Linked DNA regions of Oreochromis niloticus. The protein of the gene in region 1 interacts with the protein of each later gene in a biochemical or structural test. Links are inferred from orthologs where the notes say so. Each region holds a gene or a part of one and is shown in the gene's direction. Other genes may lie near its edges. The genes, in order: snta1, gucy1a2, slc16a7 and potassium voltage-gated channel subfamily A member 1.

Region 1 (8,012 bases):
CCGCTCAGACACTAGTCCATATGGTAGACCTCTGGAGCTGTTGCCCTTAGCAGAGTAGGGGAGGGAAGCAAAGATGCTTGGAGGATGGCAGGAGAAGGCAGAAGGATGCAGGGGGACGTTGAAACTAATCAGTAGGGCTCCCCAACTGTCCACTGTCTTTGGGGAGTTGAGATATGCATATATGTGACTGACTGAACTAAGGGTGTAGAGAAGATAAGTTGGGGGGTTGTAGTCTGTTTGTCTGTTTGAGTGTGTGTACATCCATCCATTCATTTTCTTAACCGTTTATCCAACTATGGACATGGGAAGGGGGCTGCATTCTGTCCCAGCTGGCGTTGGGTAAGAGGCAGAGTACCCCCTTTAGGGGTTATAAGTTATGTGGAAATAATGCTTTAAGTTCTTAATTTGATTTCATTTATTTAACATAAATACAATACATATTCTAGTGTTTTAAGCAATTATCAAATTGAAATATATAAAAAATAATAGATAAAAATAATGATCTAGCAATTTTCACATGTGTTCTGTATATACAAATTGTGTTTTTACTTTGTTGTCATTATTATTCAAAAGTATTTTCTTATTACTTAAACAACAACAAGAGATACAATAGTAGTCTGATGTTGTTGAGAAGTGCTATAGGGTCATGTGAGTTGTCTTCAGCATAGCAGAAAACCAGTCTGCCTTGACTTAGACAGAAATGATGTTTATAGATTGTTAACATGTTAAACTTTTATTCAACTTACATTTAGTCATATATATTTATATAATAGTTCTTTTTTATTAAATTATGTTAGCGAAGATAAAATTAAATACATGGTCAACTTTTGTTTTTTAATGTATCATATAGTCATTTTAAGCATTTAAATAAGGTTTTTTAATATTTAAATGAAAATCTTGTATTTTATATCCTTTATTCGATCATTCTTGATTTTTACATGCAAGCCCAATATAACTGCACTGCTATTAGGTTGATCAGCAATGACATATATTCATGCAACGCACTCTGTTAGTGCAAATCATCATTCACCATTTTGGTTGTTTTTCCTGTACACTACAGAAAACAGATTTAATTTCAGGTCCTTGACTTCTTGCTGACTTAAGCTCTAGTGTAATTTGACGGTGCTCAGTATTGGTTAAATCCTGCAAGGACAATGGTGAAATATGATGTCATCCTACACTACTGTAAATGCAAGCACACTTGCAAACAAGTCACTACTTTAATGTGCACAGTTTCAATACTATATATGACTAGATCCACTCCAAACAATGCAACCAGTTTTGTGTTTTGTGTGTGAGAGATCCTTACAAATCCTGCTCTTCCATTCAGCTAAGCTTTGCAAATATATTAAGCTGTGCTACTGTGAAAGAAAGGCTGGCCTCCTGCCACTCACATCCCAAATAGACCAACAGATGCATAGACTGGGGGTCAGATGGTCAAACACTTGTCATAATGCTAAACATCACCATGTAGACCCACTTCTTAAGTCAAGCACTGTTGTTGAAGTCTCCCATTCATTTTTGCTGTGCTATTTATATGTGTGCTTCTATACATGTGCTAATTAGTACAAGGAAGTATCCTTTTCTAAACAAAAGTGTGGACAAAGGAGGATAAGGTTTATGGGTGGAATGAGAAAATGTGACAATAAACTTCACATAAATCATTTGTTTCATTAATTATGTTAAATGTAGCAATGGTAACTGAACCTCAAACCACACTGGCTGTATATAAAAGATGGGTACCCAGCTGTTGGTGGACTATATCATTTAGGGACCTTGGGTTGTTTAAAAACAACAACAACAAAAAATGCAAACAAGGAAACAACACTTTTAGACAAGAGCTCAAAGGTGGGTAATTTTTAGCTAATGCCAGCACCAACTAGTTTGGTTAGGCAGGTGGATCTGTAATTCATTGTGATTTTGAATGGGCTGCTAATTTTAGATATTGAAAAACAGGTTTAAAATATACTTACTGGAGAAACTGAATAGCCATTTCCTTTAGGCGACATGTTTATTGTTTTGGGGTTTTTCCGCCTTCTAGAACAGGAAGATTGGGATGACAGTCTTACATACCCTGCACACATGAGCTGGAACAGAACCAAACCCAGGCCTCTGAGCTGAGGGTAGACTTTTCTACATGGGGTACACACTCTGACAGGTGAGCTACAGGTGCTGTTCTTTTGTGCGCCGGTAGGTTGAACAGAACAGGACACTGCCGCTTGGCTACAACAAGCTCCGATACTAATATGTTCACATTGTACACTTGCCACAGAGTGGTTTCATCATAGTTGTGTCTTTTTTATTTTAAAACAGTTGCTTGCTGTTGCTGAAAACAACAGGGTTGATGTGAAAGCTGAGTTTGTATCACTTATTTGGAAGCACAGGAATCATCTGACTTCACTTTAAATTTGAAAATCCACATTTTTAACTGCAAGACTGTGTTCCCCATCACATCTATATAATATTAATGGTCACTATGCCAATAAAAACAAGCTCCATCTTGTATGTTGATAAACAGTATAATTATTGTATCTTTAGTATTTCCAAGTAAACCCTTTGTCTTTACTTTAAAGTGTCACCCTGGGCAACTGAAATGTCCAAATAATACTTGTGATTGGGCTGCACAGCTGGGGTCCAATATTTGTTTATATTGTCAAAATCTCTTCTTTTTTTTGCTCTTTGAGTACCATGTGCCTACAAATCCATGAATACTAATAGACATATGGTTGGATATGAGCTAAATAATCAAAGGGTATGTAATCCTGGGACAGGCTGTGGTTGTTTAATATCAGTTAATGACACAGTAATTGCATTTTAACCTTATACATATGGCCTATACTTTATAACTGCAAAATGTTTTTTCTTTAACAAGACTAGCAAAAAGTCAGAAATAGTTTCTCTTAATTCAGCTGTTTTTACTGTTTACTTATTTCTATCACAGTGAAAACCTCATCACATAACAATCAAAAGATGTTCCTAGATTTTTTTTTAAAGTACTGTATATGACATGTAGGAAATCTTTGTTATTTAAACAGATTAGGTACTAGTCAAATGTTTTCCAGTGTAGAGGTAATAGAGCCCTTTAATCACTAGAGGGAGACAAAAGATTTGAATCTAGGCTTTGGAATTCCCTGTTGAATATTTAGTGTGAAGCTGATCCATGGTCTATGACTTAAAAAACAAGTTGTTAGAAATAAAGTTGTTACATCAATATTCACTACAGTAAACATGAACCAATTAGAATAAAGTAAGCGTTGATATTTGAGTTGATTAGCTACTTTAGAATGATAAAGAAATGTTGTTGACAGATGAGCATATTTAGAGCATCTGAATGGGTTTAGAGCAATTTTCAGTCAAAGCTCCAAACTTGTTTTCATTAAGGGAGCAACTGCCTCTCAACAGCCCACCCAGAAGAGTGTTTTCCAACCCTGAGTGCTGGGACTTCTTTGCTATTTCACCTGCTGTGAAGCAGATGCAACACAGGCTGCCACACACACAGCTGAAGGGCTGACAGATACCTTGCCGATGCAACAGAGCATAGGAAATGAGGACTGCTTCATCAGCTTGTTTCAGTGACTCCTGCATGATCTTAATGTCTATGCTGCACAATTAAGTGCACCTCTGCTGAGTCACCACAACAGTGCAGTACTTATCCATGTTGAGTTTCTGTCAAGACCGAGACTGAACGGCTTGGCTTATTACTCCTGAAATCATGGCATATTAGGAAATAATTCAAAATAGTTATTGCATGTTTTTTTTTCACATTTTTCATTAAATATTTACGACTGACTACTAAATGAAAAAAGTGATAGCCAGAGTAGCAGATTTCTGCAAATTGCAACAGAAATTGAAAGAACTGCTTAACAGTTTGAACTGAAGAAATAAGGAAGGAAATAAAATAAAAATGAAGAATAATTTAGTTTGAACTGGAAATTTAAACTGGAAAATTCTGGACTGAATATAATTGTAACTTGGGGTAAGAATGAAAAGAACTGAAATTCCACTTACTGGCACTAATCTTCAGCATACGCAGGACTGTGTTTTTGGTTTTTAATGGAAACACCATGAGTTTGCATTTTTGGCAGTAGCCCCGGTGGAATCAGTTTACTAATCTAAACCACGATTCTACCTTCTATCTGCTGAAATTTTCAAACACAAACAACAAATTTTTCACGTATTTTTTAAGCCCATTTCTTCACTGCCATGGAATTCCCAGTCTGGGAGATGAGGTCGTTTGGTCTTGGTCTGTATCCAGCATTGATTCATCCTTTGCGATGCTCAAACACCTCATTTGGTACCTACTGGAGAAGAGCTTTGGGGTAATCATGCTTTGTACAACATCATATTGGTCACGTGTCTGCTTTTAACAACATTTTATTGGATACTGATCAGCTTTAACTATGCCCCAGCTGCTGCAACAGGGCATCAGTGTCATGGTACTGATGGGCATTTATGGCCTCTTTCAGTGCCTGTTGTCCTGAAACCCATTTTGAATAAAAGCCAATAAATATCATTGTTCTGATTAACGTGCAGGCTTCTTCATGGTAACATCACACCCACTGTTTTCTGTCAGCAGAATTCAAGCCGAAGATGCTTAGTGGGTGTCATTCCCGATATAAGCTCTCTTCACTAAAAATGCATTTCTGGCCTTGAAAGCATGTCGATGTTGTTTTCCTTATTGCAGAACTTATGCATATATACATATATATATATGCGCAGTGATTTTGCGCGTTTTGGGCACACTGGAAATGAGATCTGTGATGTGAGGCTGGGTGTTGAAATACACTCGAAATAAATAAATAAATAAATGAATGAATCAAAACTTAATTATGCGTGACTCAACCTCACATTGGTGATTAACGGATGGGCTGAACAAGAAGCTCTTTGAACTTTGAGTGTGTGTCAACACCGTTGCTAATCGCATCGCCCTCGATTAACTTTACTTAGCCTACTACTGGATAAACCTCTTTTGGAGGAGGAGAAAATAGAGGGAGGGAGGGAGGGAGGGGGGCTCAATGTGTGTGTCTGCATGCCCCCTACCACAGCCCTCTACCCCCTCTTACAGGACTGCCAGCCCGTCTAGAGTTATTCCAGGAATGCGTTGAACATGGCTGCCGCGACGAAGGCGCAGAAAACGGGACTGCTGGAACTTCGAGTGACCGTGGACCGCTGGATCCGGGTACTGGCTACACTTACCGAAGATAGTCTCACGTTAAACCCCGGTGAGGGCACCGAAGAACCCGCGAAGCCAAACCCGAGTCCCGCTGGTGCTATTAACGGAGACCCCCCGAACCTCAGCTCGTCCCCGGTCCCGGAAACCATCACCAACGTGAAGCGCACGGTGCGAGTTACCAAGCAAGATGTTGGCGGGCTCGGAATCAGTATCAAAGGTAAGGTAGTTTACGAAAGTATCTTAAAGATAGCTAACTGCATGAACGGCGAGTTACTGTCAGTTAACACAAGTTTTGACTACAGCGTACCTTCTGTCACCGACCACGAAAACAGCGGCCAGTTAACTTGGCTAACTTCAAAAATGTGCAACAATTCTCAGAAACGTGCGTAAAATGCAACTTTTCCGCGATTTGCTCTATGACAAATATCCGTTCGTGTTATAACTCACACGTTTAGGTCCGATGTTAGCGCAGAAAAACGACAGCTGTGATTTTCTCAAGCTGTTTCTCTGCTCAACAGGGAACCATTTCAGTGCACCACAGTCACCGGAGACGGTAATTAGTTCGCTACTGTCATGTAACGTTGGGTTCCACCGTGTGCCCCCAAACAAACACAAAAAATAAACACTAGTTTAAATAATTTAGATAACTGAATTCAGAGAAATCAGGAAATGGCACGTGATTCTGTTTAACTCGATTTGGGTTTTAAAAAGTTTCCACAAATCCCCGAATACTTTCCGTAGATGCTTATTACCCAGCAGTGTCGACACCAGCAGTTCATTTAAACATATTTATTTATGGACTACAGACACCAAACAAAGCAGGTTTTAAACCTGAATATTATGCGTTATCAACCAACATTATTAGTTTTATTAGATCTAACTTCTGATTATGAAGCTGTAACACCAATAAAAATATGTGACAGAGTTAAATCCCGGCTCTACAGAGTATTTTAGGTGGTTCAAAGACCTTTTTGGCTGTTGAACTTTGCCTTTGAATGAGCAAACGGGAGTAGACATGGACACAGAGACCTCTACTACACATAGTGGCCACAAGAATATTGTTTCTACAGGGACTTCTCAATGAAGAAAGGTTGTAATCTCTCCATATCTTACCAGCCAAGCCTGCATACCTGCCGTGTGTTTTGCAGCAGCTGATAAAAGACTTTTCCTTGTCCTGCTTCCACGAAAATAGCCTATCTCTGTGGGGATCTCAAACTGAAGATGACTAGGAAGGTTGAGCAGTGGTGCTATGTAAATATAAAAGATAAAACGGACAGGAATGTGATAACAAAGTTTTAGGAATGTTTTGGATTTTATTATATTTTATAGACGGACAAATATCACAGCTTTTGTTCTTGAAATTTAGTAGTGACTGATAGATTTACACTTTTTCTTTTTACACAGCTTGCTTTGTGTCTTTATATTGTCTTTATAATTGAATCTAGAATATGGTCATTTTCATATTCTTGCCACACACAGTGGGGTTCCGCCTCCTTGGCTTTAACTAGAATTGCTTGAGGTTATTGTGGTGAACTTATGATTCTGTTGTGCAACTTAAATAAACACTGTTTGAATTTTTAATAAACAACTGACACAGAAAGATTTGTTGCAGACTGATGTATTTTATACTGTGTTTCTTATTTTGCTTGGGTTGTGATAAATGCAAATGCAGACCCCACAATTCTCGCCTAAAAAGTCAGCTTTTTAAATTCAGATTTTCCTGGTGGGTTGTAAATATGTACTGGAAGAGTTTTCCTAGAATTACATATAAAAATAAAAATCTAATTAGGTTTCTTGCACAGTCTCAATAAATCTCATTATATTTTTAATCATAACCCCTGTGTGATGACATGTATCATATCAATGAATTATTGTCAGTTCACAACCCTAAGTCACCTTGTGTTGTAAAGCATGGACTGCCAAGGCAGTAAAAGGTGTAATAAATAACAGGCATGGATCTATAAGCAGCATGTGTGGGTATAATTGCATGTGTGTGAGCTGTAGTTTCCTCCTGGCAAGTTTGTCTTCCCAGGTAATCACTTGGCGATTGGTTGATGCACAGTGTCGATTTGATAGATAATTGTAAACTTGCATTATTGTCATGTTGCAAAGATGGCTCATCATTGTAGCTGCTGGTGACATCTTAATTTTTAGTCCCCCCCCCCCCCGCAATTCCCACCAACGACAAAACAAAGCCAAGCCCTAATGACATAATTGTGATGTCCATCTGTGGAAATGGGTGGGTTTGAAAATCAGACAGCATGTTATTAAAACCAAATCATAGCTAGAAGCCTTTTGGCTTGACATTGTTGTGATGCTGGATGTTCAGAGGCAGTTTTGGGAGGAAGGGTGTACAAGATTGAAAGTGAAAGGTGCAGGCAGAAAGAGCAGGCCAAACAAGAAATGGTATATGGGACAAGAGGTCAAAGAGGTCAAAAGAGTAAAAAGAAAAAAGAAGCAGGAAGAAAAAAGTGTCAGAAACGCAGCGGGAAACAAATGAAAGAACAGAGAAAAACTTGTATGCTAGTTGACACCGCATTGCGAACAGCTGAGAGAAGCAGCTCACAGCAGTCAGTTGTCATTGGCTAAAGATGAAAGCTATGTGGCTGGGAGTGGAGTACTCCACTAGTGTTAATTTTAGGGAGCCCACCCCAGCTTGAGGAAGAGTACGGAGGCAACTTTAACTCACATGTCTAAATTTAAGAGGGGAGGCATGGAATCTAGACTCCAGGTCTCTGGACAGGCCGAATGGTAAAAGTTTGCGTGTCTCTGCAGACATTTTTCCTTCTTCGGAGCCACTGAGGTGCACGGTCTGTGCATATAACCACAATGACAGTCA
Region 2 (7,584 bases), on another chromosome or scaffold:
TTATTTAACATCACAAAAACCTGGCCCTTTAATTGTACAGTGGATATAAAATTAAAGCCCTTGTCTCTATGCCATACCCACCATTCTCATCTCTTGCAATGCTGCCCTTCTCTGCTTCCCAGCCGTGGGATTTAATTTCTTTCTCAGTGGTCTCATGATCCTTTCTAGCTGTCACTTAATTCTAAAAGAGGGTTCTGTGTCATCACAGCCACACAGGCAAGTGTACACACACTCATATGTCAGAGCATTGCAACCTTTAGACCTAGTCTGTTGTGGATACACGCCTCTCATGAGCAGTGGGCAGCATTGCCCCAGCATGCAACCTTGGCAGTTTTTCGGTTAGAATATTGTCTTTCTTATTGGCTCGCTGCTTCAGTGACCCCTGTTATTTTCTGGTTTCATCTGAGATACTGTTTGGTGCATCTGCACATCTGATTAGTGCTGAATTTCAAAGAATCACACAGAGGAAGATTTGATTTTGCAGTATTTGTGTATATGGTCACAGATTATTATAGAAAAGCACTATATAAGGACCCGTCCATTTATACAGATGGACAGAGTGACTGGGTACCTCACTGTAGTCCCTCCAGTTCTTTTTTCCTTACATTTTTAACCTGTGGGTACCCAGAAAAGAGACTCTTTCTTTAATAAGGAACATTATTAAAATACTCCTCAGACGGCACTGGACTGCACTTTTATTAAGAGAAATCAGGTGTGTTATGAGACCAGGGAGATTGCCCCTTACTTGTAGTGTGAGCACTGACAAAATTTCATTTCCCTGAAAAGGCAGTGTTATGTGTTATTATTGTTTTTATGAGCGATCAATAATCTGTGTGTTGTTCATTGTTTTTTCTATGTGCATCTGTTTTGGCATTAATATGCTGCACTTGCCACCATGACCGTGATGCACCCGACAAAAAGAAAAACAAAGCCATCACTTAATACATGAAATCAAAGGTCGGGTCACATTCCTATCATTTACGTGGAAATTTGGCTAAATCTATAACATACTCCTTTATGCAATTTCCTACTCTTTAACCCTGGTTGTACTTATTAAAAAACCATCCTCATGACCAGTAAAGCAGGTTGTTTATATTGTGCATGTGTCAGAGAGGCACAGTTTCACGGTTAATAGCATCAGAGTGGCGTGGAGTGATGTGCGGTTATGGCCAATTAGATTGGCTTCTGGCAGATTTATGACCAAATCAGCCATTTGTCTTCTCCCATCTCTGCCTCAGCTGGCCTGACTCCTGTTATTCTGCAAATCCCCGGCACCATCCTATTGCATCTGCTGTAGCTTTTGGTTCATTTACACCCCCACTCACTCTGCCTCAGTATAGACAGGAGGTAGATATTTGACAGAGAGATAAGACAATAATATGAGTGTATGTCTTCTGCGTCACAAAATTGAAACCGACATGCCTGCTTAGCAGCGCCCGCTACAGACACGCGCAGCAGAACGAAAGGATCTTAAAGGCATGACTCACTGGTGTGTGCCATGGGCCTGAACCTTTCTTATCTTCATGCATTCCATAACTACACACATTTCATCTTCTACTGGCTTAAACTCAGTGATGCTGTTTCCTGTGTGGCTTTGTCTATATGTGGGTTTTTGCTCCATTTCACAAGTATGGATTTTAATACTTCTCATTCTGTGTGTGTGTGTGTGTCTCTGTGTGTTTTAGATTCCCTGTCAATATGTTAGGTTGTACCTCAGATGATAGGTGACTATGCATGTAGAATATGCTAGTTCATTTCTTTCTTATGTTTTAACCCTCATGTACCTGTGTGTGCAGTGTTGTACTGTACTGGTTAAATTGTGTGACAGTATGGCTGGTATTTGTTTTTACCTTCTGAGTCTGCTGGTGTGCACTACTGTGGAAGAAACTACTGGAAAGCTGGTTTTGAGTGGGCCGTTGTGGCAGTTTATAGTTCTGCCTCTGTCTTTTCTGCAGATAGATTTCATCAGTCATGCAAGATACAGACGCACAACTTTCCAGGGATCGTAGTTGAGGTCAAATCAGAAGACACATGTGGTCTGAGTAGAAAGGACCATGGTGCAAGGTTTCCCTTTCATCTTTTAAGATCCTGTCACTCAGATTTATGCATTTTTAATGTACTTGTAACTTCGCCCATATGAAGAGTTAAAACTATTTGTTTTCCAGGTTGGCTGTTGCCTTAAAAATTATCACAAGATGCTTTTTAGTCATTTTCATAAATTCACTCTTCTCCACCCACTCCGCCCTGCATGCCTTTACCCCTCTTATGCACTGTCTGTTCCTTTGGAAGATTGAAACTCACTAGCTTCACTACCTCTTCTCCTTGCATGCTCACCTTTCCACATGTCTCCCTCTCATTCACATACATGTAATCTGTTTTACTTCTACTGATTTTCATTCCTCTTCTCTCCAGTGCGTACCTCCACCTCTCCAGACTGTCTTCCCCCTGCTCCCCGCTCTCACCACAGATCACATCATATGCCATGTAGACTCCTGCCCGACCTCATCTGTCAGTCCGTCCATCCACCATTGCAAACACATACTGTGCATCCATCAATCCATTTTTAATTCTGTAGGAAAAGCGAGGAGCTGTGCCAAGGACACTCAAGGTTGGATTGCTTCATCCATTATTTCATTTCTATTGTCTAATGGCATCCGTGTTACATGTGCCTATTGAAGAAGATTACCACAGTACTTCAAGAGTTGCCCTTTCTATCTGTTCTGCTTCCATGATAGCACAGTCAGTGATCTGTTGCCCTGTCTGTACTTAGCTTTAGATGGCTGGCAGCCAGCTCAAGGCAGTCTCTCAGCTAGTAGGCTTATCTCCTTTGGAACATCATTTATTCTATTGTAGTGTTGGCTTTATTAAATGCCCACATTATTACTGATGGATGGCAGACTGATGCAGACAGATAAGGAAAGAAAAAGAAGGCATTCGTGTGTGTGTGTGGGGTTGTCTATGCACAAGAGAAAGTGTGTGGGTGTGAGTTAGAGAGAAGAGAAAAAATAAAATGATATGCAGTGGATTGGGGTCATGCTGCTCCAGAAAGTCAAATGAATTAGTGCGCACCTTCAGGAAATTGTGTTAGGGTGTGTGAGCACATACATGCACTATGTCTGTCTGACTCAGTGTCTTTCTGATTGGTCCACTGGGGCCATTAATGAACATGATCTGCTAATAGAGGTCAAGGTCGTGACTGTTGTTAGCGCCAGACTGAGCGTCATTCTGTCCTCTGATCAGATACAGCAAGCATGTGCCACCGCCGCGAGCTCCATTATCACCCTTTAGAGCCATGTTTGTCCATGTAAACCCGTGTTGAACATATCTGGCACATTGCCACGGACCTGGCTTATTGACCATGGCTGTTGTTTGATTACAATCAGATGCTGCTCGAGTGCCATTTCCTGTTAGTTAATTGAGGAGCAGACTGTTGTCTGCCAAGATTTCACAATTATAAAACCATGTAAATGACAGTATGGAGACTTCCATCTTTAATTCATTTAATGTAAAAGTATTGCATTCACTGTGTACTAATTACAACCATTTTTATAGTTTCCACCCTTTTCCGGATGCTCAAAAGTAAATAGACAAACTAACATAATTTTAAACAAAATGACTGTCTTTAATACTTTACATGCTGTTCATATTACACGCATTCATATCATAGTAGAGTCTACAACACATTTTGAACTACAGATCAATTGAGAATGTATAAATAGCCTATTTGAAATGAGTGAATAGATGATTCGTCTTTAATTACTGTTTCAGAGAGCATGTATTTTTGCTTTTTGTTTTTGGAGAAATCATCTGCTTTCATGCAATGTAATGACACTTTTTACTTAAGATCTGAAAACACAACAGCCATAGTGATTTCAATCTATTTTATTGAAAGTGAAAATGGCAGTGCTTGGATAAAAATGATCAATACTGATTCTGTATTATTTAATTTTTAGAGTTTATTGAAGACTATCCGGTCCATTCAAAGCATTGGTAGGAAATCCTGCGTGGGGGATGTGTTTCCCACACTCACTGAAATGGAAGCCCAGGTCCCTTTATAATCTTATGAGCTACTTTTGCTAGCTATTTTAGGGAACAGCCCTCACTTGGCGCCTTTTCATTTAACGCTTTTCCCGAGCACTTTATACAACATACCTCCTTCACACAAGCACTGTTTTCAGTGCGTCTATCTAACATCCCATGAAGGCTGGAGCAGTCAGGAAGCGAACCAGCGACCTACTGACTAGTGAACTGCTCTTCAGTTGTGTCAGTTTGTTATTGTCCAATTACTTTTGTCCAATGTGTGCGTGAGTGTGTGTGTGTGTGTGTTTTGTTGGGGGGGGGCTATTAAAATGGCTGTAATTCCTAATACGAAAGACATAATAATAAACAATAAATAAAAATAATAATAAATAAAAAATGTAATACAAAAATAAAATAAAGTACAAAAACTATGACATTGCCCAACTCCGTCTGTCTATCGATTGGCTCTGGTTTGTTTTCCAGCGCAGAGTAGCGCGTTGACGCGTACTTCACAGCGCGTGCATCGCAGATTAGAAGCACCGCTGGCGCGTGCCGCTGCTGCTGGCTCACCTCTCGCGCTCACTCTCTCGCGCTTTTACCTTTCTAGCTCACCTCTACTCCGGCCACTTCTTAAAGCAACAAAAAAGGGCCAAGGAGCTGCGGTGAAAGAGCTGAAATAAAAAGATGGAGGAATGCCCGGAGTGCGGTTAGCTGCTGGAGGACCGACAAGAGAACCTCTGTCGCAGAGGACTAAGAGCAGGAGGAGGAGGAGAGAGGGGGAAGCAGACGCATCTCACATCTGCGGTGACTTTGGGGATTTCTGGGCAGCGTGAGGAGAAAAAAAAAGGGAGATACGCTACATTTTTTTCTGATGCAGTTAAAATCTCCCGCGTGCAAGAGGAATAATTACCATGTGTTTGGATTATCGGTGGACCAGCGCGTTATGCTCTGCAGTTTCGGCAATTAGGGGGACATATGCTTCAAAATAGTTGCATCTTTTATTAAAAATAAACACTGTTGCCGGGCGTGATGAATTCTTCCGCTCCTCATTTTTAATCGGAAGCATCCGCTGGAGTGTTTGGCCACCCGGGGGAGCGGCGAGAAGGACGTTTTTTAGGGGGGTAACGGAGGACGGTTTTAAAGAGGTGATACCCTCCCCCTTCATAAATGTTTGCGTGCCGTTAGTGCTCTCGCTCTCAGTCGACCTCAACCCCTCCTCTCTCTCTCTTACCCCGAGTCTCACACGCAGGCAGACGCGTCTCATATGCATACACAGACACGGGCTGGACTGGACATTATCTCACCCGCACACTGACACAGCATGCGCGCATAATCACACATACACACAAGCCTTTCCTCTCAACCAGCCAGCCCTCTCACCTCCTCCCCCCCCCTCCCTCACTATCTGATGACTCCCCGGTGTACAGGTGGACGTGGTACGGAGCCGACTGTAGCATCATCCTCATCCTCAACACCGCCACTGTTATCATCATCACCATCCTCCTCCTCCTCCTCTTCTTCTCAGCAGCACAACCAGCACCATGTCCTCGTCGTCGCGCAAGATCTCCTCCGAGTCGTTCAGCAGCTCGGTGGGCTCGGACTGTGGGCTCGAAAGCCCCGGGGGAGACGGAGGGGACGGCGGGTTGGAGCCGGCGGAGGAGACCCGAGGGTGCCCCTTCTCTTCCTTCCCCTCCTCCCACAGAGCGGTGCTCTGGAACGGCCGCAGCCCCGCCGAAAGGACCGTGTGCCCGGCAGGTGAGGAGCAAGCACCCGGCGGGCCCCACAAGAGGGTCACCAGGAGGAGAAGGGTGAACCTCGACTCGCTGGGGGAGAGCCTGAGGCGGCTGACCTCACCCACGGTAGGATTTCAAACCAGTGTGAAAAAGCTTCACCGTGACCTCATCAATTGTCTTTAACATGTTTCTAAAGAAAGTTGCGGTGCTTTAAGTGCATTTTGCCTCCTGCAGTCAGAATATAGGTCACATCTGGGACTTAAAGTGTGTGTGAATTTGTGAAAACGATAGAGTATTCTTCTAAAAATCATTAGAAATGCCTTGTTTGTCATATTATTAGGTCCATTACTGACCAAATCAGGTCTCCTGAAGATGAAGCCTGTAATTTAAAAACCAGCAAGATCAAATATCCTGATGCATTTATTTCACTGCTCAGAGATGTCTCCAAAGTTCAGGAACAAAAACAACCCAACAACAACATTCAAGCCTCTCCACATTAGTGTGTTACTCCCAAAAACCCAGACAATGTCTTTTCTTACATCATGATAGGATGTGTGCTGTGCTGTCTACGAAAAAAAGCCTCTTTTCATCCTTCACCTCTGATAGCCTGAATCATCTGGCTGATTATATAATAAATATGTTGTTGTGAGTTAGAGAGAGACAGAGAGAGAGAGCGATGCCCATGGCTCGTCTGTGTGTATGCGAGGATGTGGGGAGTGTGGCGAATGAGCCTGCTGCTGTGTCTGCGTGTCTCAGTTGTGTGACAGGCTGTAATACAATAAAACCGCTATTAGAACTGAGTGCGATTGTGATGGATGGCGTGTTATTAGGGAATCTGCTATTGCACTGTCCCTCGCGATGGTACATCGGTTCGGGATTTGATTGCATCTGTTGTTCTGTAGTTACTCAACAATAGAAAATAAGTAAACAGATGGACAGACAGATGTCAAAGATGTGGACAAAACAAAAGTACCATTTGGGGAGAGGACATCAGCTTTTAAATAAATTATACCACAATCTCCAATACTTATGATATTAAGGTATTTGCATATTATCAATGTCACCATAATGTTGCTTTTTGCTGCCTTAAAACTGGTTTTAAGAACTCGCCTACTCCAAACTTCTGTCTGGACAGAGAAGATATTTCCCAGAGATATTTGTAAGCACTGGAAAAATGTGCATGCTACGAGTAAACTGGGGAATAAAACAATTCAAGGAATAGGATGACTGTCGTGAATGTCTCCTTCTGCCTGATTTACTCAAGTATAAAGGAAGCTTATTTAGCCACAGTGTTTCAGTAAAAACATCTTTTAGTTTAGGAGCATACAAATAATTTAAAAATACTATTGTTACTGTAAATGTCGTCATAAAGGAGTTCAGTAGACATTGCCCAACTCTGAAAACTACAAAATCAGCCCAAGAGTAATCCTTTTGCTGTGTTGTGAGTGAAATATGTATCTATCCTGAGTATTTGGTCATTGGTTTGTGACTTTGCAGTTTCATGCTGAAAATCTAAAAGATTATGAACCTGAGTAGTTTGTGATGGTTTGGCCATGGTTTAACATGAGTGGGAAGTAAATCAGACACAAGCTGAAGACTTTGAGCCACAAAGTGTGCTGCTGAGACTTGAGACAGGTCGGAGACAGTCCAGGGTCTACTTTGCCTCTCACCCTATGACAGCTGGGATCGGCTCCAGTGCTCCCATGACTGTGACTTGAATAAACCAAAGAAGATGGAGTGATAAATGGAGTGCCATATTGACTCCATAGACTGTGTGTAAAATATGGAATTAACTTCCAGGTCCTGATATGCTCTAATGCAAAATTGTCTT
Region 3 (7,563 bases), on another chromosome or scaffold:
AGTCGTAATTTTATCTCTGCATCATTGTTGTTATTTTAAATTACTTTAGGTGAACTACATAACCAACATAACCATTTTTTTCATTTTTTTTGCAGTTCTTCATGTATTTACAGTACTTATAAAACAGTGCTGGAGCATCAGGGTATTTTCTTTTCACAGCGTCCTGTGGTGCACTCCTCTCCACGTCCGGTCCACTTTAGGCGGTTCCTGGCAAAGATGTCATAGGATTTGTCCATAAATGGTCTCACAGGTGACCACATCATAAAGCGACCCAACCAGCCAAGGCCTACGGCACTATACATGACTGCAAATGCTGGGACTCCGCTGTGAACCTGCCAACACACAGCATGAAGGTGCATAATACCACACTTATGTTGAACTCCATATTTAAATCAGGAGCTTGAGAGTTTACCTTGTCTTTCTTATCAATCACGTGCATTTCCTTCATGGCCATCTCATAGGTGATATCCTTGTATTTTGTTCCATCATAACCTGGCAGAGAGATATCAATGAAATGTACTTTCTCAGGCTGGTTTCTCTGCAGAAACTGGAGGAAACGGATCTCAGTCACGCATATTGGACAAAGCCCATCATACAGAACCTGGAAAAGAGTGGAGAGCAGACATTTACATGAGGAACTGTCTGATATTTTATCCCTAATTTTCTATAATTAGTTAAACTTGAAGGATATAAATCCTGTTAGGAGGCATAAACCATTGTGGATTCATTTAACCTTTGGTGCTTTGGTGCAAATGAAAGTACAACAGTTGCATTGGAGAAGCAGGAAAATGGTGAGACCGTTGCTCTCCCCATATCGCTCCCGACTGATATTTCTCTTTCCTTTTTGCTAGTTTCCTTGTCTCTACTGGTAGCGTTAGATGGTACTTGCAGCCCATTCAGGTTGCACAGGTAGTTCCATATACTAACATGCCATCACAAGATGGTTTACAGTCTCAGCACAGGAGTGTGGAGGACATACAGGAGACGAGCTGTTACACAAGAAGAGCTGGAGAGGGTTGCACAAGGGCATCAACGCAGCAGCAGGACAGATAACTGCTCCTTTTTTCGAGGAGGAACAGAGCCCTTGAGAATGACCTACTTGTGCCAGCTTTTCATCAAACTGTAAGAAGAACCAGACTCCACGTGCATGACATGAGGGCCTGACCTTGCAGCTCAACTGACGTTTACCAAAGAACACCAGGACGGGCAGGTCCACCGCTGGACCCCATTCTCTTCACAAATAAATGCAGGTTCACACTGAACACATGTGGCTGACATGAGAAATCATAATCTTTTTTCAAAAAGACATGTTAACCTTGAATAGATTACCTCATTAACAGTCTAACATTACATCAAAGATCCTGAATAATTTGAATTTAGCCCAGGAAAACTTTCATGAACTAAAAATTGAGTTGCGTATTGCCACAGCGTTGTCTTAAGTTTCGGTTTGTTTGTTTTTAAAGCCCTCTCAGATTATTATTTTATTATTATCATCATCATGTATTATTCTCAGAGACGAATTCCTCCTTCACATCGGAATTATTTGCGATAATTAAGGATATAGCTTGACCTCTACTGGATATGATAGCACTGAGAATTTGATTCATATTTGAGGTTTTAAAAACCAAAATATTCAAGACACATTAAAATATGACAACGTTCAAAGTGCAACTTTAATTTTGCTCAGTTGGCACAGATACTGCCACACAGTGAGGACAAGGTCAAAAGCAAGTCTTACATTTGGAGTTTTACACATGTAAAATAAGTTTTATGAAATCGTAAGCCTGGTTTTATATCACTGGATCTTGCGCAATGCAAGCATAATGCTGCTAAACTGGAGACATTTCAACCAGTGACGCGGGTTACTTTACAGGGTTTACGTATTAACCAGTATATTATCCTAAAACTGTTTACCCGTTTTACAGCCCGCTAACTAAAACTTTAAAGCCATGTAGTTTAGCAGAAACAGAGAGACAGTGGGAGCAGCTCACCCTGACACCAGACTCAGAACTGAAGGTGCGATGCTGATGTTTGCAGAGCACAGATGTTACTCTTGAATTTACACAACTGGGCAATCTGGCTAAACCCGAAGTCAGACATGTTCTCACTTTTGAAAACATCTGAAGCTACAAATGGCTACACAGCTCTAACTTCGAATCAACCTGACTTTTCCCCAGCTAACAACCGTATTATACAAGCGTTTGAATAACTCTTGAATAACTTCTTCTTCCCCCTTTGAGGCAATCTAGGGTTTGTTTTATTATCGCCATCTAGTGGACTGGAGTGCGAGAAGTGCAGCCACGTATATGAACCTGAACATTTCCATGTTCTCTGACTTACGTATACAAACAGAAATGCTGAGTATTTATTTACATTCCCATATTCAATATTCCAAGACCGAAAAAGGTCACGATTTTTTTATTTTTTATTTTTACACATATCTAATCAGCCAATTGAACAGGCTTCAGAACTGGGGAAAAAAGATTTTAGTGAGCAGGTATCCAGATGGCTGGTCTGAAACTGCTTGGATCACACAACCATGAAGAGAATGGTCAAAAAAAGAGAAATATCCAGTGAGCACCAGTTTTCCGAGTGAAAACTTGATTGATGAAGTTGAAGCCAGAGCTGCTTTGAGCCAAAATGAAGCATTTCAAATAACCACTGATTACTACCAAGGCATGGAGAAGAGCATGTCTAAATGCTCGACATGTTAAAGCTTGAAGCAGATGGGTTAGAGCTGCAGATGACCACACTTGGTGCCAGTTGTGAGAGATAAGTACAGGAAAGGGATGCTACAGTTTGAACAACTTTACCAAACTTGACACTCTTTGAGACCTTTAGTGCCAACTGAGCAAACTGGTTTCTCTGGCACAGTCTCCAGATCTCAAGCCAACAGAGCATATTTGGGATGCGGTAGAACCGGAGATTCACATCATGTTTGTGCAACATTATATCTGCTGCAACTGTGTGATGCTATCATATGTTTATACACTAAAATCTACACTAAAAAGAATGTTTCCAGCACCTTGCTGATGTATGATCTATGCACGCAGTTCTGTAAGAAAAAAGTGGTCCAACTCAGGCGTACCTAATGAAGTGGCTAGTGAGGATATGTCAACTGTTTAATTTCCTTAAATTCTAATCCATAAATTGTAATTATTATCCTCTCAGTTGCATTTTATGTAGTGTTTGTTGTATTTCTTTCAAAACATGCGGTTTGCAGTCTGAATAGCTGATTAATGAGGAGGTTGAATTGGAGCACATTATCGCTCAGCGTCTAGACATCTTTAAGTAACTCATGAAAGAAAAAAAACAACAGAGCTCACAGCACCTCTAAAAGATAAACCAATAATTCATAACTGGTTAATTTGCTAATTTCGATACTAAAAGCTGGAAATTTGAATAGAATACTAAGGTTGCGAGATTAGTTCTTAGAAGCAAATACACATTTAAAAAAAGCTGTATTTTTTCTGCACAGATCTAATTTGTCTGTGGACGTAAAATATTGTGAGATCTGCAGTAGGGTCAAGAATTATTCCATAACAAGCCTTAAGTACATATAATAATATTTTGTTGGAAAAAATACAGTACTGTGTTTCATAGCCCATATTTTAAGATCCCTAAACATCTATAATGCACACTTATGAGTGTTTATTTTCTCCTGTAATTTCTCACAAAGCCCTTTTCAGATTTTTTTTCAATTTTTTCAAGAGAGCTGAAGCATAAAAACTAGGGATTGTGTGCTAAGCTAAAAGAGTATCCAGTGACTACATCATTTTAAACAACTCATAATTTTAAGAAAAATAAAATAGAGACCAATTATTTCCAGCATTTACATTCAGCAACCACATGGCCTAACACTGCTGACATTGAATTTGTAGCCAGAACTCTGTTTTTCACCACATGTACAAAACACAGTTTTTCAGTTAATTAACTTTTACTTAATCAAAGCGTATGGACAAACCATAAAATTAAGACAGCCTTCCTAATATTGTATAAGTCCCTCCCACACGTACTGTAAAAACAGCTCTGACCTCAACTTAGGTCAGGTGATCTAGTTAGATTGGCACCAAGTTGTTGGTTGTGTTCTAAGCATTTTTTTTTCAGTTAGCCCTGCTGAGGGTGACCCCTGCCATCGGGGGGTGCCATTGTATTGGGGGCATGCTCTTGGTAGCCAGTCTATGCCAAAAGTGACATCAAAACATAAATCCCAGCTTTCCCAAAGGTTTCCCAAAAGAGCATGACGCACAAACAAGATAATCATTAATCAATTAATCACTCAGTTGTTAAACATTGTGGGCGATCAGTATTTATCACGACTATATTTTAGTCATTTTGACCAACCGACCCGCAATACACAAACACACAGGAGTAGACAAACACTGCCTACATGAGTTCAAAGGGCCTCAGCAGTAAAACTGAATGTATGTCTATGAAAGGGTAAAATGTTAAAAGAAACAGATTTTAGGAGTTGAATTACACTTCCTAGAAGCTTTATTGTCATCAATATCTAGTGCTGGGTTATTGCTCTATTTTGTATGGCCACTCATATTTTTCATGACAGCACACGTGATGAGATCAAAGACCTTACAGCAGGGTGAACTCTGTCCCTGTGCAAGACTGTGGCATATGGACTGAGTTCATAGGCTGGGCGATACAGTTTCAAGGACTGGGCAGAGGTGAGGTCTTGTGAAATTTATATGTGATGCAAAATATGTGAATCTAACTCTTTCTTTGAAAAGTTGCACTTGTTTATTTTCTGTTCACTTATTTTTGCTGTTCCCACTTTCCAGCCGGCGAATTGAACATGCCCCCCGCAGCAGTAACCAATCTAGGCTACACCCCACCAGACGGAGGCTGGGGCTGGGCTGTCGTCTTCGGCGCTTTCATCTCCATAGGATTCTCGTATGCCTTTCCCAAGTCCCTCACCATCTATTTCAAGGAGATTCAGGAATATTTTTCAGTTTCCTACAGTGAGATTGCCTGGGTGTCCTCAGTCATGCTTGCTTCTATGTATGCAGGAGGTTAGTGGCCGTCATACTTCAAGTATTGACAAATGTATTAAAAAAAATTGGCACATTCCCAAGCAGCGTATCCCATGACCGGATTTGTCAAGCAAATTTTGTCCCTCAGAACGTTACCAAAAATGTAAGATATTTCTCTCCTGTGTGCAGGCCCTGTCAGCAGTGTACTGGTCAATCGCTATGGCAGCAGACGTGTGGTTATAGTTGGCGGGGTCATGGTTTGCACTGGCATGGCTCTTGCTTCTCTTGGCACTAATATAATACATCTGTATCTCTGTGTTGGAGTAATTGGAGGTAAATTATGTTTCCTTTTTTTGTTAACAGTCAGATAGGCTAGTCCAACAATTAAATGAACTACCCTTTAAAATAATTCACTTTCTTAAAGTGCACATGTTCAATTCAATTTTGTGTTATTTTTCTGGTATGGCTGTTGCTGTCCTTTATAATGTTTGCTTTATGACACCTGGTTGTAACTGGACTACACTGAAGGAAGGAGTGGTTGTGTTGTAACTCTCATTCAGTTTTTTACTATCAGGATCAACCCACAGGGATTGTTTATGTCCCTGTGTAAAGCAAGGGTTGGTCGTTCAGTGCAACGAGTACAATGACCCTTATGATATAATATAATATAAGTTATAATCCCTTCTTAAAGCGGCAACATCAATGCAATGTTTAGATTTGGGTGAAACCTTTTCTTAATGTCCTGTTAACCCAGGTGCATTTAGAACATCCACACATGCACATGTGCAGGCAAGACCACATGATCATTTTACTAACTGAGAGCAAACAAACCTCTCAGACTTTAAACCTAATCTTTAATCTAGTAGCGCTGCACCAGCCAGAGAAGTACAGAAAAGAAATGTCCATACCATGGGACTAGTTATATATATGTATATTTTTCTGTAAACAAATCATCACCGATATAAAACTAATGTCACAGATAATAATAAGAAGTGCATTCAACTGACTAAAAGTACTTTTTAACTGATACTTTAGACACTTTATTTAAAATATTCTAAAGGGAATAAATTCATAAACTACTGTGTGTAATTTTATCCTAATTTCTAACAGGTTTTGGTCTCGCGTTCAACTTGCAGCCCTCCCTGACGATCATAGGCACTTACTTCCAGGTCAAAAGGCCTCTTGCCAATGGACTCGCTATGACTGGAAGTCCAGTTATTCTCTCAACTCTGGCTCCTCTCAATCAGTTTCTGTTTGATTCTTTTGGTTGGAGGGGGAGCTTCCTCATCCTGGGATCCATTGTTTTGAACTGCTGTGTAGCTGGTGCTTTGATGAGACCAGTCAACAAAAGCATACAACGGAAAACAATAGATGAGTCATCAAAGTGTGAAAATGAAGCTGAGGAACACGCTGCTGCTGAAGACACCAGTACCCACTCTGATAACCTTCAGACTGAAGATCAAAGTGAGAGCAAGGGTCACAGCTTTGTGCAGAAATTCATAGATGTCTCACTTTTCAGACACAGGGGCTTCCTCATTTATCTAATTGGTAATGTGGTCATGTTTTTTGGCTTTTTTGCACCTGTGGTTTTCATGGCTCCATATGCCAAACATCAAGGGATTGATGAATATTCAGCAGCTTTCCTGCTCTCCATTTTTGCTCTGGCGGACATGTTCGTTAGACCGACAACTGGCTTCGTGGGCAACACCAAGTGGATTAGGCCAAGAATACAGTATTTTTTCAGTTTTGCTGTTTCATACAATGGCATATGTCACCTAATGTGCCCACTGGCATCTGGCTATACAGGCCTAGTTGTATATGCTGTCTTCTTTGGTTTGGCATTTGGGATGCTTTCTGCACTCCTTTTTGAAGTTCTAATGGACCTTGTTGGAGCTCCTCGTTTCTCCACTGCTGTTGGACTTGTCACCATTATTGAGTGTGGGCCAGTGCTTCTGGGACCTCCAATGTCAGGTTTGTGGTGTTTTTTTTTTCTTTCTTTTTTTCATTGAATTGTGATTTTGATTATACACATAAGCAAAGTATAGAAATTTCCAAGATGGAGTTACTAACAGATTATGTGTGTTCTCTTTCAGGAGCTTTGGTTGATTATTTTGGTGATTACAAATATATGTATTATGCATGCGGTGTATTCATGCTGGTTTCTGGCATATTTTTCTTCATTATGCATTACTACAACTATAAAAAACTGGATGAGGAGCACAGGAAGAGCAAAGCAATGGAGACAAGAAATTCTGACGAGGCAGTAGAACTAAAAACGAACCAGGATGATAGAACGATGAATGAAACAGATGAATGAACTTGATGACTATGACTTTATTTCAGTGGATGCATACAAAATGACATTGCAAAGGCTTTTTATGCAGTATGTTAATGTATTTTATACCTTAAATGACTTAGAGTAGTTAGACTTTTAAATACTTGCAGATTCACATTTGTTATTTTGTAAATTCTCATATTATGTATATTATTATTATTACAGTGTGTGACATATGTAACTCTGAGGATTTGTTAATAAATTACAAGGAACTACCTCTGTTCTAGTGCAATCCATATGGCT
Region 4 (7,996 bases), on another chromosome or scaffold:
CCCCTCCACGTTGGTGTGTGTGTGTTTGTTTGGTTTGTTTTGTGTGTGTGTGTGTGTGTGTGTGTGTGTATGTGAGAGAGAGAGAGAGAGAGCAGAAGACTTAAATCCTTTTTTTAAAATGCTTTTCACTCTTAATACCCTCGCCTGAGAGAGAGAGAGAGAGAGAAGATGAGTGATATTCACTCAGAACAGGAGGGGTGGTGGTAATGGGGGTGGGGGGCTTATGGACAGCTGTCAATTAAAAAACCCTCTACACAATCAGTTTTCTATCCCTTCCATCACACCGATCCATCTCAGGTGGCGTCCCACCCTTCTCCTCCCTCCTCTCCTCCCTTATCCCTCCTCCCTCTTCTCCTCCCTCCTCTCTTCTCTCCTCCCTGCTCTTCCCTTATGACTCTGATGTCTGTGGAGAGCAGCAGAGGTTGTTGTTATTATTTCTCTGAGGCTGTAATCCCCTCTCTTCCCCCCTGCAGCCTCTGTTGAGTTATTGTAGATTTGACTGTGTGTGTGCGTGTGTGTGTGTGTGTGTGGTTAATATCCTGTGTAGGCTGCTGTGAACAAGCACAGATTTTCTTTTTGTGATCTGCTTCCCCGAGGGCCTTTGAACACATGCAGACACATTGAGGTGGGTGGGATGGAGGAGGGGAGGCCCTCACCCTGTGTGTGTGTCTGTGTGTGTGTGTATGATGGGGTTTACCCAGGGTGCACGTTAAAGCTGGAGGTGCAATACGTGACCAGTGGAGACTGATGATTGGCCCACAGCTCCTCCAGTCGCAGTCACCTTTTTCCATTCCATACAGATATATATATATATGTAGATAGATAGATATTAGTGCTGACAAAAGTCATTAGTGCTGACAGCACTAATATATATTTCCTGTAATTAATCTGTAAACAAACACTGATTGTTTCTGTCTTGGTTTTGGGGTGTTTGATGATTTTTCCCAAACTGAGCTGAATTCCTAAACAAATGTTCAGTACTTTAACTCCAACATTATTTACTTCTCCATGATTAAAGTGTTAGCACTTTACGAGCTTTGAGTGGAACGATTCCTGCAGGAAAATCCCTCGAGGTTTCAGGTATGAATCCAGAACCAGGTGCAAGAGAAGAAAAGAAACCCTGATGTGAACCACTGACCTGTGAGCAGCAGGAATGCTCGGCAGCTTTTAAATGTTAAAAATTAGTATCACGGGAGCTCTTGGTTTTTAAAGCATTGAGCATGAAAGTGTCCTCTAATTATGTTTATCAAGCTAATATTTGTTTAAAGCTTAGCTGATTGTGGAGTTTAAAGCTTTGAGTTTTCTTGAAGCAAACCAGCAGACCAAACAAAGTTTTTCAGCCCAGCAAGACATTTCTGCTCAAATGGAGAAAAGAAGTGAAGCAGAGGTAAGGGCTGATCTTCATCATCATCATCATCATCATCAGTGCGCCTGCAGCCTCGCCAGGTAAATATCCAGCAGCCCTTTCTGTGCAAGCCGGTGTGCTGAGAGAACATCACATCACGCCTCAGCGTCAGCTTGCATCACAAATGCAAAACAACACGCTCCTCCTCGCTCTGCTGCAGCATCCTCTGTCCACTCCAGCTCAGCGCTGTGATGTGTACTCTCATGCCTTAGCACGCAAACCGGTCCTCACAGAGACAGAAGTACAAGCGTGCACACACACACAGACACACACACAGGAGGAGGCAGATAGATAGGAATCCATTTTAAATTGCTGCCATGTTGACGCTGATGGTCAGTTTTCCTGCAAGAATGATCTCAGACTGAATTTCAGACCACAATGCAGAGCATCCTGAAGGACCTGGACTCCAGATTCCAGGATTCCAGGACTCCAGCACTGTTTTAATGAGCTACATCGTCAGCCTGAATAAACGCTTTGCCTGTTTGGGCTGAAGCTGAACTTGGCCTCCTCCTACACATCAGCATCTGCTCACAGGCTTGCTGACAAATCTCACCAAACCAATCACACTAACAAATGCTGCCTCGACCTCCACCAAGCACTCACACACACACAGCTCTTTAAATCCCTGCTCGGCTATATTTCTCAGCACCGATTTCCAAATCCATTTAGCAGCATCTGCAGCCTTTTCTGCACATAATCTGCGTGCGCGCTCTAAGCCGCCACAGAAACTGTTACTTTAAATGAGTGGCACGCATGACGTGGTGTCCTTGATTTTCCTGCTTGCACATGTCCTCTCTCTGCGTTATTATGCAGGCATCTGCTGTCAAGACTTCTTAAACTCATCACAGTGCTCCCCCCTCCACGCCACTCTCTGCATGCAGCCCTGAGCCTAAACACACTCACATATATTTAACACACACGCATGCGAGCACTCCGTGTGAGACGTGCGCACACACACGCACACACACACAGATGTGGTGATGTGAGGTTGGTGACGCTCCCTCAGGTGTTGCAGAGTCTGACTCAGGCCTACTGTCATCCCAGCAGTGCTGCTCGTCTCCACACGGGCACTGAATCTGACGTTTCTCTGCTACTGTACCCACACACACACACACACACACACACACACACACACACACACACACACACACACGGTTACGTGTCTGGAAGAACCCACGCAGATAAATGTTTCTGGAAGAACGCAGAACTTTGCTGCTGTTGTGCTCTGAGCTGTTTCTCATGTTTTAGACCCAGTTTTGTGTGTTTCTTTGTCATCATCGTCCTTATCCACATGTTTGTGTCCTTGTCTCCTGGTTTCCATTTCCTGTCTTTCTTGCCTGTCGCCTCTGATTCACTGATTGTTCCCACATCTTTCTCATTCTTCCTTCAGCCCAATGGAGGAGTCGAGGAGAGGAACTGAGGAGGCACAATCTGAGAAATAAGAAGGGGAGTAGTTTTGTGTTTTTCCTTCATCATTTTCTCTGTTTATGCTCATCACCGTCCTCAGGTGTTCCTCCGTTCAAAGTTTTTCTCTGGCTTGTTTTGTTGATGCTCTGCATGCTTTTGTGTCCTCTCTGTGACCTTCATTTCTTTGTCAGGGGGACAGAAAGTACTTTGATGACTGGCACCAATCAGACGGACAATCCACCCTGCCCTGCAACAAACCAAAGAACAGTATTCATATGAACACACGATAACGTGATAACAGAGACAGCATCAGAGAGCTGCAGCTGTAGATATAAGCAGGTGTTATCTGCTGTTCATAGGCTGGAGGGTGAATCATCCAGCTGTGCTCCGGCATTTATTTGGGGTGTTTTCATCCCTTTTGTGTCCTTTTTGTTTCATAATGCTCGAGTTGATTGTTTCTTTTGTTGCCTTTATTTGATAACAGAACAGTGAAGACAGGCAGGAAAGTGAGTGCAGGTCAGACTCAAACCCAAGCTGCCACACTCCAATCATGTGGCTTATGGTCACCTGTTCACCGCTGAGCTTTTCTCATTTCTTCAGCACTGTCGTCATCTCTTTTATTGTGATGGGTTTGTTATCTCTCAGTCCTCTTATTAAATAACTGGACAAAGTTAAATTGTTTGCAAGTTTGTTGGTTTTTTGTTGTCTGTCTGCTGTAGCATTATTTTAGCTAAGGCTGGTCAGTCTTCCAGGTGTGGACCTAACCACAGATGCCAGAGAGTAAGAATACTGTGTGCTGATCGGAGGAGGCAGGAACTTATAACCAAGAGGAACCAAAGTCCTAGGTGAGGTGTTTCAGGCACTGGGAGGAGACGCTGGAGCAGACCCAGGACATGGTGATTTGATCTGGGATAGGAACTAGAGCAGCCTGTTCGATGGGCTGGACATGGAACCCCAAATTGTTCCTGATGGGTTCATTGGAGTGAATGTAAGATAGAAACTACTCTGGCTGCTGAAGCAGAGCAGAAAATGACAGCTAAATAACAACCAGTCCTTTAGGTCCTTTAGGAAGGCCTCAGTGTCTCCCAGAGGAGACTCTTCTTCTCCAATGACCGGAGCAGACGAAGTGTCCGAAAGAAGATGGAACCAAACTGAACACACAACAAGCTGCTCAGAGCCTCTGGATCCTTGTAACACTTACTGATCTTTAAACAGATGAAAAACTGGTGCTTCTCTGCTGCTTTAACCACACACACTGATTTCTTCTGTTTGACTTCTGTTCCACTCACACAAACCCAGTTCCACAAGCAGACAGTGGATCAAGCATCACATCTGTTGCTTTAAATTTCCAGCTGTGAGTCTCATTCGTGGTCTCCAGTAGTGCTCCCCCTCGGTTCACCCTCCGCCTGAGAAATATTCTAGAGTTTGATACAATCATCATGTGATTTAGATGAGCGAATCTTATCCTGTATTTAAAAGTAGAGATGCTTGTCTCTGTGCTTCTTCTGTGTTTAAATGAGAACTTCTTTGTTGTGTAGCTGACCTGCAGACCTGATGCGTGTCTGCAGTTTTTTTAGAAGCTGTGTTGTTGTTATCAGCTGCAGCAGTGGCTCTGAACTGTGTCTCTGTAATTAGAGAGCTAATTTGTGAGCTGCCGTTGTTATGGATGCTGGTTGTTAGTGGTTACCTGTTGTTATGGTTACCGTTTCCCTGTGTAGCTGGTAACAGGACCTGAAGTACCGCAGAGTGGGACTCAGCTCCAACTCCTACACATGTTCATCAGGATGGCTGAGGTTTGGGACATTCTGTGACTGAACCTCCGTCAGTAACACAGCGGGATGCTTTCAACTCGGAGTTCAGAGTTTGCACACCTCAGGCCTTAAAAACAGTCATTTGGTTTTTTGGAATTGGAATGGAAATGGAAATGAGGATGAAAAAAAATCTGCTGTAAAATACATAATCAGTTCAGTTGTTTGTTTGTTTTTTCAATTTAAGCTAATACTACAAAATAAAAAGTTTATATAACTACATAAATCCGCTCTCCTTCCACTGCCCTGAAGGAACAGTCACTGATCACAGTCACGTGCAGGAGCTGTTTGTGTGATGGGGTTTTTTATTCAGCACCTGAAATCTGTCAGCAGCTGCTGCCAGAAAGGTTTGTACCTTCATGTCCGTCACAGGATGATTCCTGCACACTTCCTTCAGAACATCTTCATGTTTTGCGGGTGCTTTGCCAAATTGAGCAGACCCGGCTAAGTCCAGCCTGTGCCGGTTTGGTTTTTCACAGAGACATTCATATTGGCTCATACACAACTGAGTAAAGCACAGGACAGAAAACCGGTTGGATATTTTGATTTCAGTGACCTCGGGCTCAGGGTGGAGTTTGTTGTGCTGATATAGTTATTTATGTGTTTTTTCTTTTGATGTGTCTTTACACGCCTGCAGCCTGGTCTTAACATTTTCACATGTATATAAAATTATGCTTAAAGGTCAGCTCGTGGAGGCATAACATTCAAACCTGAGGTGCAGAATTTGTTATGTTCATCGTGTCAGGATATAAGGTTGGACCAAGAGCTTTTCAGATGTAAACACAACCACTCCAGTGTTTGTATATTCTTTATGTAGCACTTGTGAATGCACCTGCTGCCATGACCACCGGTCTTAAGAGAAGATTTCTCATAATAATAGAACACCGTTTGACTTTAAAGCCCTCCTTCCCTCTGGGACTGTGAAACCTGCAGATCTGTATCAGACACATGTGAACATCACATTAGAATGCAGCAAAATAATCTCTCATCTCTGTGCTAATCATCTGCTCTTTTTTCATGTCCCTGTTTGTTTCTGCTTCTCCTCCTCCCCCCCGATTTTATACCTCACAGCATCCAGCTACAGTTTCATGTTTTTGGAGCGCCCGCATGACAAACATGATAAAGTTTATTGTAAAAACCTCCTAATGGCTGTATCCAGTGCGTGAAATCGCTGCGTTGCCAGTGGCCAGTCACACAGTGGGATGGGTGATGGTGGGTTATTATTCATGGCTGCAGGAGTCTGAGAACAGTGCATTAATCCAGGGGCGGGGAGATGCACAAAGTTCTTATCATGATGAGGCTGTGGCATTAGATAAGGAAACGGATAAATATAGTGCTCCTGCTTTGTTTTGCTAATCCACCCACAGGGCTGAGAAACTAACCTTTTAAATAGGTCGCCCTCCTCTGCTTTTAGAAACAAGCGCTCTGGCTCTCTGTGTCCACCGGCGTGCATCTGCGTGTCCTTTGTAGCATTTTGGATGTTCAGTCGGTGCACTCTGGACGGAACTTGGTTAAAGATCTTACATTAGAGGTGAGGTAGCAGGAGTGGTCTCAGTGGTGATGCTTCTTAAACCCAGGAATAACTAGGAATTGCAGTTTGTATTCTTCTTATTTTATTATTATTTGTTTTTTGTTATTAATTTCAACCATAAACAGCACCGGAGCGTTGATCGCACCCTGACAGTACAATCAAGAATCCTCAGTCTAATCACGCCTGCATACTATCACTCATAAAAAAAACCCCATACCAATTATATTTGAACAAAAGCAGTAGGATAACGTCAGACACAGTTTTCTGTTTTTTTTTGGTTGATTTAAACGACCCTGCACAATAACTGGCCTGGCTCTGCTGGAGGTTTCTTCTTGTTAAAAGGGACTTTTTCCTTCCCACTGTCGCCAAAGTGCTTGCTCACAGGGGGTCATATGATTGCTGGGTTTTTCTCTGTATGTATTATTGTAGGGTCTACCTTACAATATAAAGCACCTGGAGGTGACTGTTTTGATTTGGTGCTGTATAAATAAAATTGAATTGAATTGAACTGAACTGAACTGAACTAAGTCTGTGCTGCCTTGATTGGAAACACTGCTTAGATGTTGTGCTGCGTATAGGTTTTTTATACTATAAGAGCCAGAAATCAACACCTGTGTCTGAAGAATGGAGCTGATTTTCCTTTTGGGGTGTTTGTAATGAATAATCTGACCAATAATATGGCTGCTGTCAGGTTTTTGTACTAGCACAACACTGAGCAGTGACTGAAGTTCTCTTGACTTCAACAGCAAGATACTGAAAAGCACAAGAAACAAAATATTCAAACTTATCATGAATTTTTCATAAAACCAACAAAAATAATGAGAACAGACACAAAAAGATGATTAAATGCAGAATAAACTCCACAGAACACAGAAACAAGGATCCTTCATGATTACAGCAAAAACAGAAAATGATGCTCCAGCTTGTTGCTGGTTAATGATTACAGTGTTGACATAAAGACTCACATGGCTGCATGAGATCCAAACATGATAGTACAAGAACTCACTTCAACCATAAACTAACAGCTGACCAGCAGCGGTGGGCTGATGGGGATGTGTCTTTATGTGCAGACAAACATGAGCTTGTGTTCTAAAGAAAAGCTGTATCCATCTCCCTCAGAGCCAGCAGGATGAGGCAGAGTGTGGCCCCAGGGCCGAGCCAGCAGCAGCAGAGCAGCAGAGAACATGAGCATAAAGGAAACAAAGAGGCGCGCATGAAAGCCGCGAGTCCATGGATGCCATCATGTGGAAAGCAGGCCTTTATGCTCACACTGTAAGGAGATGGATGTGTGCGCAATAAGGAGATCTGAAAGCTTGCACACGTGTGCTGCTGTGGCAGTAAAACACACAAAGGAAGGTCTGATGTTGTGTAAGGAGTGAAAATAAAAACAAAATCACAGAAAGAAATCACCACATGACCTCACAGCATCTCAGTTTATTCTGTTTTTCATCTATCTGAACTCTGAAGCATCAATTTGTGTCCACAAACACCAGCGAGGTCATCTGAGGTTGTGTTAGTCAATGATAATCCTCACTCCTGTTAGGGGTTATATACAGACACCAAAACAGCTTCTGCATCAGCCTGTCAGTATGTTTATGTTAACAGGACTTTGTGAGGACTGACTCACCACTGGTGCCTCTGGTGGCCGGCAGAGGAACAGCAGCTTGTGGTTTCAGATGGAATTTTATGGTCGCTGTCCTCCGCAAACAGTCGGGCTTCAGGCCTGAGTGTGCAGGCAGGTTGGGCTGTCTCTTTATTAGGAACCAATGCAAGGAGATCAGAGAGGGCTGACAGGGAGAGGTCAGAGTGACAGGAAACAGGAGCAAAGGTTTATCAATCAAGACA

What was found.
Region 2: the proteins of snta1 (region 1) and gucy1a2 interact in a test that uses a peptide from one of them, tested with the Homo sapiens proteins (3 studies listed by BioGRID and IntAct, with this or other methods). The link is inferred for Oreochromis niloticus from reciprocal best matches to the Homo sapiens genes SNTA1 and GUCY1A2.
Region 3: the proteins of snta1 (region 1) and slc16a7 interact in a test that uses a peptide from one of them, tested with the Homo sapiens proteins (3 studies listed by BioGRID and IntAct, with this or other methods). The link is inferred for Oreochromis niloticus from reciprocal best matches to the Homo sapiens genes SNTA1 and SLC16A7.
Region 4: the proteins of snta1 (region 1) and potassium voltage-gated channel subfamily A member 1 interact in a test that uses a peptide from one of them, tested with the Homo sapiens proteins (2 studies listed by BioGRID and IntAct). The link is inferred for Oreochromis niloticus from reciprocal best matches to the Homo sapiens genes SNTA1 and KCNA5.

What each region holds. Positions count from the first base shown.
Region 1 is NC_031970.2:7,142,767-7,150,778, reverse strand, and holds the start of snta1 (alpha-1-syntrophin), read left to right. Parts: upstream 1-4,998; 5' UTR 4,999-5,107; coding exon 5,108-5,390; intron 5,391-8,012. UniProt on the Homo sapiens protein: Adapter protein that binds to and probably organizes the subcellular localization of a variety of membrane proteins. May link various receptors to the actin cytoskeleton and the extracellular matrix via the dystrophin glycoprotein complex.
Region 2 is NC_031979.2:18,036,503-18,044,086, reverse strand, and holds the start of gucy1a2 (guanylate cyclase soluble subunit alpha-2), read left to right. Parts: upstream 1-4,523; 5' UTR 4,524-5,456; intron 5,457-5,545; 5' UTR 5,546-5,561; coding exon 5,562-5,879; intron 5,880-7,584. UniProt on the Homo sapiens protein: Has guanylyl cyclase on binding to the beta-1 subunit. Isoform 2 acts as a negative regulator of guanylyl cyclase activity as it forms non-functional heterodimers with the beta subunits.
Region 3 is NC_031984.2:11,571,542-11,579,104, forward strand, and holds the start of slc16a7 (monocarboxylate transporter 2), read left to right. Parts: upstream 1-4,525; 5' UTR 4,526-4,679; intron 4,680-4,793; 5' UTR 4,794-4,807; coding exon 4,808-5,024; intron 5,025-5,174; coding exon 5,175-5,318; intron 5,319-6,095; coding exon 6,096-6,956; intron 6,957-7,078; coding exon 7,079-7,302; 3' UTR 7,303-7,563. Other genes in the region: uncharacterized protein At5g50100, chloroplastic, read right to left, coding at 138-332, 413-601, 1,992-2,120. UniProt on the Homo sapiens protein: Proton-coupled monocarboxylate symporter. Catalyzes the rapid transport across the plasma membrane of monocarboxylates such as L-lactate, pyruvate and ketone bodies, acetoacetate, beta-hydroxybutyrate and acetate.
Region 4 is NC_031981.2:22,387,378-22,395,373, forward strand, and holds the start of potassium voltage-gated channel subfamily A member 1, read left to right. Parts: upstream 1-4,941; 5' UTR 4,942-4,967; intron 4,968-7,270; 5' UTR 7,271-7,996. UniProt on the Homo sapiens protein: Voltage-gated potassium channel that mediates transmembrane potassium transport in excitable membranes. Forms tetrameric potassium-selective channels through which potassium ions pass in accordance with their electrochemical gradient.